Linked DNA regions of Kluyveromyces lactis. The protein of the gene in region 1 purifies or fractionates together with the protein of each later gene. This does not show direct contact. Links are inferred from orthologs where the notes say so. Each region holds a gene or a part of one and is shown on either strand. Other genes may lie near its edges.

Region 1 (4,383 bases):
TCCCCGGAGATTCCATTTCTCCGGCCTTGAAACTGCCGTACAAACCATTGGCTCCTTTCGAAAATGGTGGAATCCACTTCCCGAAAATGACCGAGCTGACAAGAAACTGCCCAACTGAAGCTCGAGGGATTCGAACCGTTTAAGCTTCACTGACGTCCGACTATCTACTTTGACAAAAAAAATAAGGACCTTCTTCCATACTCTTATTTGACACCAAACACTTACGTAGTTATGGTTCGCTACAGTTAACACAGGAACATACAATTATAGCAGAGATCGTAATATTTGGAAAGTAGAAAAATGAACTTGTCATTGTTCTGCGCTGGCAGTTCCGATTACCTTGGGTAATTGTGCCAGTTTAGTTCTGTTCATCTTTACATGAAGCCTTTCTAGATGCCTTCGTATCCTGTCTTCTTCTCTGTGTATATTCTGAGTATATTATCGTAACCGTATGCGACAAAACGTAATTGAACTGGCAACTGACTGTAGATCAGTAGTGGGAAACGCAATGTACTGCCGGTGCTCTGATTAATTCCCCTCAGTTACTCTGTGTCGCCTAAGAAAATGTCCTTAAGCTTTTTCCTTTCTTTCATAATCTCCTATATAGTCCGGGAATCATATAGAGAAACAGGAAAAAAAAAACGAAGAAACATCGATGCAGTCCCACATAAAAGTCCAATTTTGGGCCAAAAAAAAAGTATGAACAGTGGAAAACAGCACAATCATTGGAATTAATACGATCCCAATTCAGGAATTAAAGAAGGATTTGCTTTGTTTCTGTGAAATCAGGTATTCTCCGTGATTTGGCCCTTTTCCAATTACTTCCTGCTCCTTCTCTCTTCGCTATTGGAATTGTACAACTTTTAGTTCAAGTATAATTTCAGTTTTATACTTATTATACTAATTTTTTTTTTCTTGGGTAACGTTTCCTTCCAAACTAACAGATTTCATTCAACCTTCAACACTCCAGGAGTACTGGGACTAAGTAATTAAGCATTGAGGTGGGTACAACTCTTGGATTATTAAACTGAGGCCAAAATCATATATTACGCGAAATTCTATCACTACCACCCCATAATTTCATCCTATTTTCTGTCAAAATAAAGGAATACAATTATCAGGGGAAGGAACAGTAAACATAGATTTCGGAACAAGAAACATTAGAGTACGCTTCACAAATCCCAGAGAAGAACCATTTTAGCTGCAGCAGAAAGGGTGTCATAAGAGATACCAATACGTTTTACTTTGTTTTCAAACTATGCTAAGCGCATTAATTCAAAATGGAATGTCAAAGTCTGGCGATCCAACAGATGTGGAAAACAATACTACAAACGGATCGTCAAGTACCACGGACAATGCCAATGATGTCGGAAGAGGTGTTAACACTGAAAATAACTCCAAATTGGAAAATGACAGCTCGAATGCAGCGACGATAACTACATCGAAACAGGACCCATCTGCTGTAGATGAAGCAACGACTCCGAGGTCGATCAATACAGGAGCTTCTACAGTACCTGAGCCTGATAATACAAGAAGAGATTCTGTTAGCAGCAATGTGTCAACGGCGACAACAGAATCGAGAAGAAGATCTAAGGTGAGCAGAGCTTGTGACCAATGTCGAAAGAAGAAAATTAAATGTGACTTTATTGAGGGGCACGATATAAACCCAGATCAGAGCTGCACTGGTTGTCGCAAAATTGGTGAAAAATGCAGTTTCGAAAGAATTCCGCTGAAAAGAGGACCGTCCAAAGGGTATACTAGATCAAATAGCCAAAGCAGAGAAAGACGAGGCTCTCAGCGACGCAGATCTTCTTCTGAAGTCTCTCAGAAGGGCAAGAAACCTTCTGTTAGTAATCCTGTGAATGCAGTTAACGAATCAAAATCAGAAGTGGATGCTTCCTTACACCCAGGTCAATCTGCTACATCGACGACGAACGTATCATTACATCCATTGTTACAGTACTTACCAGGAATGAACCATTCTGCAGTGTCTGCTTCATCTCCTTCAGCTTTGCAACAACCTTTTTGGAAAGTTCCTTATCACGAGTACCAGAACCAGCGAAGGCCATCGCTTGATTCATTGGCTAGTGATTCTTCACAAAAACCCGGTGGTAAAACAAATCAACAACAGCCACTTCCGTCGCAATCACAACCACAGTCGTTACAAAATATCGGTAACTCAAGGTCAAACACTGGGCCATTACCTACGCAGGACACTTTCCGCAACCAGAGGTACTACTATCAACCGTCACAAGATTCGGTGTCCGAAGCAGGCTCAGATAACAGAAGAGGATCATCTGCCATCCCACCACTCCTTAACCCGGCCATTCAGCTTCAACAGCAGCAGTATTCTTACTCACAATTTGCCATAGCGCAGCAGCAGCAGCAGCAGCAACAACAACAACAACAACAACAATTGCAATTACAACAACATCTACAACAACAACATCAGTTACAACAACAGCAATCCCTTCATTCGCCCCAAGCCAACACTATGAATGCTAGTACAGGTATATCGAATGGAGGATTTGTGCCATATTCAGGGAATAAGGGACTTCCTTCAGGTGGTCACGTTCTAGAGAGAACGGATAGTGTTGCTAGTGATGCAATGTCGTTAAATGCCTCCCCGAATATTTACACTGCAGAGGTAGAATCGGCTCCAGCGTCACCTGTTCAAAAGAAGAGAAAGAGATCAAATAGATCAAGTACATCAAAAAAAGGGAAATCTACCCAACAGAACCTGCCTGCTACTACTCCTACTTTGATTAACTACGGTCAGATCGCTGATGCCCAATTAATTGACACATACTATGCATATATCCATTTGAGGTTCCCTATTATTCCTATCAATAAAGACACTTTAACTAATGATCTATTACTCGTCAATACCCAACCAATTTCCGAATTACATGAATTAAACAACTACATCTTACTTTGGTTCAGAAATTCATTGGAACTACTTATTCGCATCTGTTTAAAAGACAAAGAATCAGAAGAAATATTGTATCAACAATCAACGTTTGTCAGTGCTATCAATGAATGTTTCCAGAAAATTGTGGATATTCATCCAAGGTTTAGAGACTTGGAAACCCAAATTGATGAGAAAATTGCTACGATATATCTTGTTACATTCATTATCCTCAATTGTACTTTGGCTTTAGTCAGCTATAACAACTCTTTCGTCCTTGGAATGTCGGTAATTATTTTCAATGAATTAAAGCTCTGGAAAAATTTTATCTTCGGCAATTGGAATACTGTTACTGGTCACGATAAGATCTGTTTGCGATTGTATTTTGAATTGAATACATTTGACTCTTTACAATCTTGTTCTTTCGGTGTGCCCAAATTAATGAATTTGAAGCTTGACGAAACGACTGCATCAAAGCTATTTTATGACGAAGTATCAAATGATGGTACCGGCCAGGAAACGGATAAATGGAACGTTGACGAGGATCCAGAAAGAATTCGAATTATAGTTGATAATATGGAGTTAGGCTATTTCCTATCAAGACTATGCCAAGCCAGAAGATCGTCTTTCGAGAAACCTCTACCTCTTGTCGGTGAACATAACGAAAATAAAACTATACCAGGCCTATTCCGTGCATTCCTTTCAATTAAAAGACAATTCACTGACACTTTACTTGACTTACCAGATGCTGAGGGGAAGCTACCAGAAATGACACCAGAGCTTGTCACGAGACTAAGCAATATGATTTGTGATTTGACCACAACCATTCATGACTTACTAAAACTAAATGTCGAGGTCAACCCCACTAATTGTTTAGAGTTGTTCCCCGACAATTCTATGCAAACGGTAGACGAATCTTCGGCACACAATTCAGCAGCACAATCATCAGATCCGTCGAATATTGAAGTTGGGACCGTATCACCCTACGTTATCGCAATATACAAAGATCTATTTAACGTTGTTGAATTGATTAAGAACATGCCAACCTCGTTAATTGGATGCGTTATGGGTACACAGGCTCCAAACTTCGATTCACAGCCACTAGTACTACAACTATCTCAATGCATGAACAACATGCTACAGATAACAACCTTTACTAGCAGTTTGAGCCCTTTCAAGATATTTAAACATGAACTGAATGCTCAATCCAAAAACAAAACCATAGATGCAGTACCATTGTGGAAACAGAAAATGAAAAGTTCTTTAGCACCTCTCCAAACGGCAATAACACCACAAGAAATAATGATGGCCCAGTTCATAGACATTGCATGGTGCATTGCAGACACTGAAGAACTAGGATGGTTTAATCAGTAACTGAATAAAACAAAGTTAAATAAGGAAAGGTCACCAAGCTAAGTGAAGAAAAGAAAAGAATAATAACCTAAAAATATTCTACCAAATTCATTGGCAATCAC
Region 2 (4,580 bases), on another chromosome or scaffold:
GAGTCCGGTTCCCGCTCTGCCTTGTCCTTCTGATGAACCCACCTTCCTCCATCGTCATCTTATTTTCAACTCAGAGATCAGTGCAAGTTCCCTTGTTTGATGCGTGTATTCTTATAATTTGCTGATGCTAATCAGTATCTCCAAGCTTGCAACAATGTATTAAGGTTAGCCTTTGTAGTATTTCGGGCTTCAGCAAACGCTTTTTTCATCAGAAATGAATCAGGATCCATCATCATAGGTAAATGTTTAGCCATGTAGAAAATCACATCAATACCTTTTCTTTTTCGAGGAAAATGCAGTCGTTTCTTTTTAATCAAGATCAGAGTTGTTCCGGGCGGAGAAACTTGCCAAGGTGACGTACGTACCTCAATATTTCTTTCGGAGAAACAACAAGATCAGAATGATCACGTGACCAATTGACCAAAAGATGTGGCTCATTCATAGGAATAAAAACCGTACGCTCTACACTGTACACTACCACGCGTCTTCGCTCACTCCATGGTATACAAGGGTGTTGCTGTCATACCGTCTCGGCTGTTATGCGAAGGTAACGAAATATTTTTTTTTTTTCTTTCGAAAAAAACGTCGACTCAAGCCATCATCACAAACTCGTCCCAGAAGCAACGTACGACTCGCATATTTGCTGAATCTGGCAAATCGCATACCGTAATATCATTAGAATTAGCCCCAAGGCAATTCTTAAGCACTCGAGGGAAAAAAAAAAGATAGAAACGAACATTCACACACAGAAACTTACAGCTGAGAGAAAGAAAGGAAACAGTAGAAAAAAAGAAAAAGCAATGATGAAGTAAGCCTGATTAACATGGTGGTGCGAGCGCCAATGCTTTGCATACTTTACCTGCCTCTGTTCCACTGAAAATCCAACAGAGAAGTGTTTGCAGCAGATAACACGAACACAGACATCAGTTTTTTTTTCCCCGGTCAGGGTGAATTCATCGCCTCCCTCCACTTCGTATTATCACCCCTCGAGTTTTTGATTCGTAATAGAAGAAGGCAAGAATCCTGTGATATTTTATCGTTTCTTCCATGATGCAGGTTGTCAGAGAGAAGATTCTATATGCCAGGAGATAAAATAAAGAGCTACTCCACAGACCTACCTGTACAAGTAGACTCAATGGAGACGTTCATACACAAGAGTAATTAGATATAGGGTAGACATAGTACTAAATAGATACAGCATCTTGACATAAAACTGACGGTTTGCCAAAATGTCGACATTACTGAGAGATTCCGCTAAAAACGCCCGCAGATTCCGTTGAAAAAAAAAAAAAAAAAATTAAAAATAACAAATAAACGTTTGCATTGGTTTTGAAGAAACAGAAAAAAAAAAATTGAAATAAATAAATGTTTAGAATTCTACTAACACGATACTTAAGTTTGATTGTCAACATCTTTGTTGTTTTTTTTGGAGAGAAGGACACAAATAGGTAACGAAGATCTGCGAGAATTATTGGTTCTGTATTTTGATAGTAGGTTATAAACCTGGAACGATTGATCGTACTTTAGCTCAGTGATAATAGCGAGAGCCAGGTTATTTTTTAAGTGTGACGTAAAGGGTTTGTATTTTGGTCTACTAAAAGCAAGAAATATTCAGACTTATAGCCTGGGAAATAGCACGAATACACTCTCACACGCTTGTACTATACTATTTTTCTACTTATAATTTTTTTTCTTTGTGTGCAAAATATAAACAGATTGGATATCCAGGTTTGGATTGTATCGAATAGGTAGGAAACGAAACAGAATTGGCGTTTGATATATGCTGAACGCAATTTCAGGTCCAGCAATGGCAGTCTCGTTACAACAACAGCAACAGCAACAACAACAACAGCAACAGCAGCAACAGCAACATGGATTATTGGGACACCAACATCAGCAGGGCATGTTGCAAGGGTTACCACATACCATGAATGGTGCGGTTGCTGCTTCTCAATTAGCAATGCAACAACCAGGCCAAGCGTCAGAATATGGCAATGAACAGGTACCAGGACAAAGTCAGTTGCCGATAGAGGTACGTCCTCAGGATTTGTTGCCGGTTAAACAGCCTTTGAAGCCTCTAGATCCGTTGTCTCAGTCCACAGCAGAGACCTGGCTGTCCATTGCATCTCTGGCAGAGACTTTGGGCGATGCTGATCTGGCTGCAATGGCATATGATGCGACTTTACAACATAACCCATCGTCGACAAACGCATTGACATCGTTAGCTCATCTATATAGGTCTCGTGATATGTTCCAAAGAGCTGCAGAGCTTTACCAAAGAGCTCTTTCTGCGAACCCAGAGCTGGGCGATATATGGGCTACTCTTGGCCATTGTTATCTAATGCTTGATGAATTACAAAACGCATATGCAGCTTATCAACAAGCCCTTTATCATCTATCAAACCCAAACATACCGAAACTATGGCATGGAATAGGTATTCTATACGACCGTTATGGATCTTTGGATTACGCAGAGGAAGCATTTGCCAAGGTTTTGGAACTTGACCCACAATTCGAAAAGGCAAATGAAATTTATTTCAGGTTGGGTATCATTTACAAACATCAGGGGAAATGGAATCAAGCCTTGGAATGCTTCCGTTATATCCTGCCTCAACCTCCTGCTCCGTTACAAGAATGGGATGTCTGGTTCCAATTGGGTAGTGTTTTAGAGTCAATGGGTGAATGGCAGGGAGCTAGGGACGCGTATGAACATATCATATCACAGAACGACCGCCATGCAAAAGTCTTACAACAGCTCGGTTGCCTATACGGTATGAATAATGTATCATTTTATGACCCACAGAAGGCTCTAAATTTACTTCTCAAATCTTTGGAAATCGATTCTACTGATGCTACTTCGTGGTACCATTTGGGTAGAATTCATATGATCAGAAATGATTACACCTCTGCATATGATGCCTTCCAACAAGCCGTTAACCGCGACTCAAGAAACCCAACATTCTGGTGTTCCATAGGTGTATTATACTACCAGATTGCTCAATATCGTGACGCCCTAGACGCTTACACCAGAGCAATCAGATTGAATCCTTATATCAGTGAAGTGTGGTACGATTTAGGTACTCTATATGAAACTTGCAACAATCAGGTCAATGATGCATTGGATGCATACAAACAGGCTGCAAGGTTGGACCCTAACAACGTTCATATTAGGGAAAGGTTAGACGCCCTCACTGCTCAAATAATGAATCAACACCAATCGGGCGAACAGCAACAACAGCAACAACAGCAACAGCAACAACAGCAACAACAGCAACAACAGCAACAGCAACAGCAACAGCAACAGCAGCAACAACAGAAGATTGAATACAATCAGCAGCCTGCTCTTCCTTTACCATCTCAATTACAGCAACCCCAACAACCAAACCAACAGCCACAACAACCAGTGATGTTACAACCAATGCTGCAAAACAACACACAAATGTTCAATCCTCTGAATGACAAGCAACAAAATGGCCAGGAGCAACAATATGCTGTCCAACAGTTCCAACAACAGCAACCTATTCAGCACACTAATATGCCACCGGTTCTTCAAAGAGTTGATCAGCAGCATCCACAAGTTGTGCAGCTACTGCATCAACAGCAACAACAAGACCACGAACATCCACAACAATATCAGCAATCCCTGCAAACTCAACAACAACTACCACCACCACAAACCCAGCAGGTGCAACAAGGACAGCAAGGACAGCAAGGGCAGCAAGGACAGCAAGGATACCAAAATGGACAGGAACAATCGCTTCAAAATACCACACAAGCCTCCCAGGTCACACAAGCTCAACAAATCCCTCCGCCACCCCAAGTGCAACAAACCATTCCTCAAAAGAGACCTTTGGAGGGGGGAATGGATACATTGTTCAACGCTATCTCACAACAAGAGCAGGAGCAACAGAAGCAAAAGGAGGCGGAACAGCAGCAAACGACAGCACCACAAGTCACGACACCCCAAGTTACGAACACCGTACATAGTACACCTTCCGAGCCAAAAGTCGAACCTAATGATAACAACCTTGGCATCGTCAACGATACAAACAGCACCATTGCACCAGCTACGCAAAATGCTGACACAACTACCATCGTACCAGCAGAAGGAAAGCAAGAGTCTGTACAAGTTACTGAGGCTGAGGGACAGCAACCACAAGAATCTCAGGCACCTGCTGGTGAACCTGAAGCACCAACCTCAGAAGCTAACGTTGTTGAAAACACAAGTGCCACCGAGAATCATAATGGAGCAGAACCTGCAGTAGCTAAACCTGAGATAACGGAGCAACACGCCATTGACACTCCTGCTGCAAATAACCTACTCAAAGATGGCTTCTCTGACAGTCAACAAAAGATTAATGGAGCCCAGAATAAAGATGCCTCCTCTGAAACTGTCGTTGAGCCTGTTACGAAGAAACAAAAACTGGATACGGAAGAAACCGTAATCAAGCCAAGTGCTGATGCAATTGAAAGCATAAAGGAGCAGGAGAAGATTCGCCAAGAGGAGGAGAATGAAACTCTGGAAAAAGTCGAAAAGAGTGCGGAATCCATTCCAAAGGAAAAAGTTGTGAGACAAGTCG

The links.
Region 2: the proteins of RGT1 (region 1) and CYC8 purify together in Saccharomyces cerevisiae (affinity purification with western blotting; 3 studies listed by BioGRID). This does not show direct contact. The link is inferred for Kluyveromyces lactis from reciprocal best matches to the Saccharomyces cerevisiae genes RGT1 and CYC8.

The regions. Positions count from the first base shown.
Region 1 is NC_006042.1:2,377,206-2,381,588, forward strand, and holds RGT1 (Rgt1p), read left to right. Parts: upstream 1-1,258; coding exon 1,259-4,282; downstream 4,283-4,383. UniProt on the Saccharomyces cerevisiae protein: Glucose-responsive transcription factor that regulates expression of several glucose transporter (HXT) genes in response to glucose.
Region 2 is NC_006038.1:812,523-817,102, forward strand, and holds the start of CYC8 (transcription regulator CYC8), read left to right. Parts: upstream 1-1,780; coding exon 1,781-4,580. Other genes in the region: DNA repair protein RAD16, read right to left, coding at 1-52. UniProt on the Saccharomyces cerevisiae protein: Acts as a component of the CYC8-TUP1 corepressor complex which is involved in the repression of many genes in a wide variety of physiological processes including heme-regulated and catabolite repressed genes.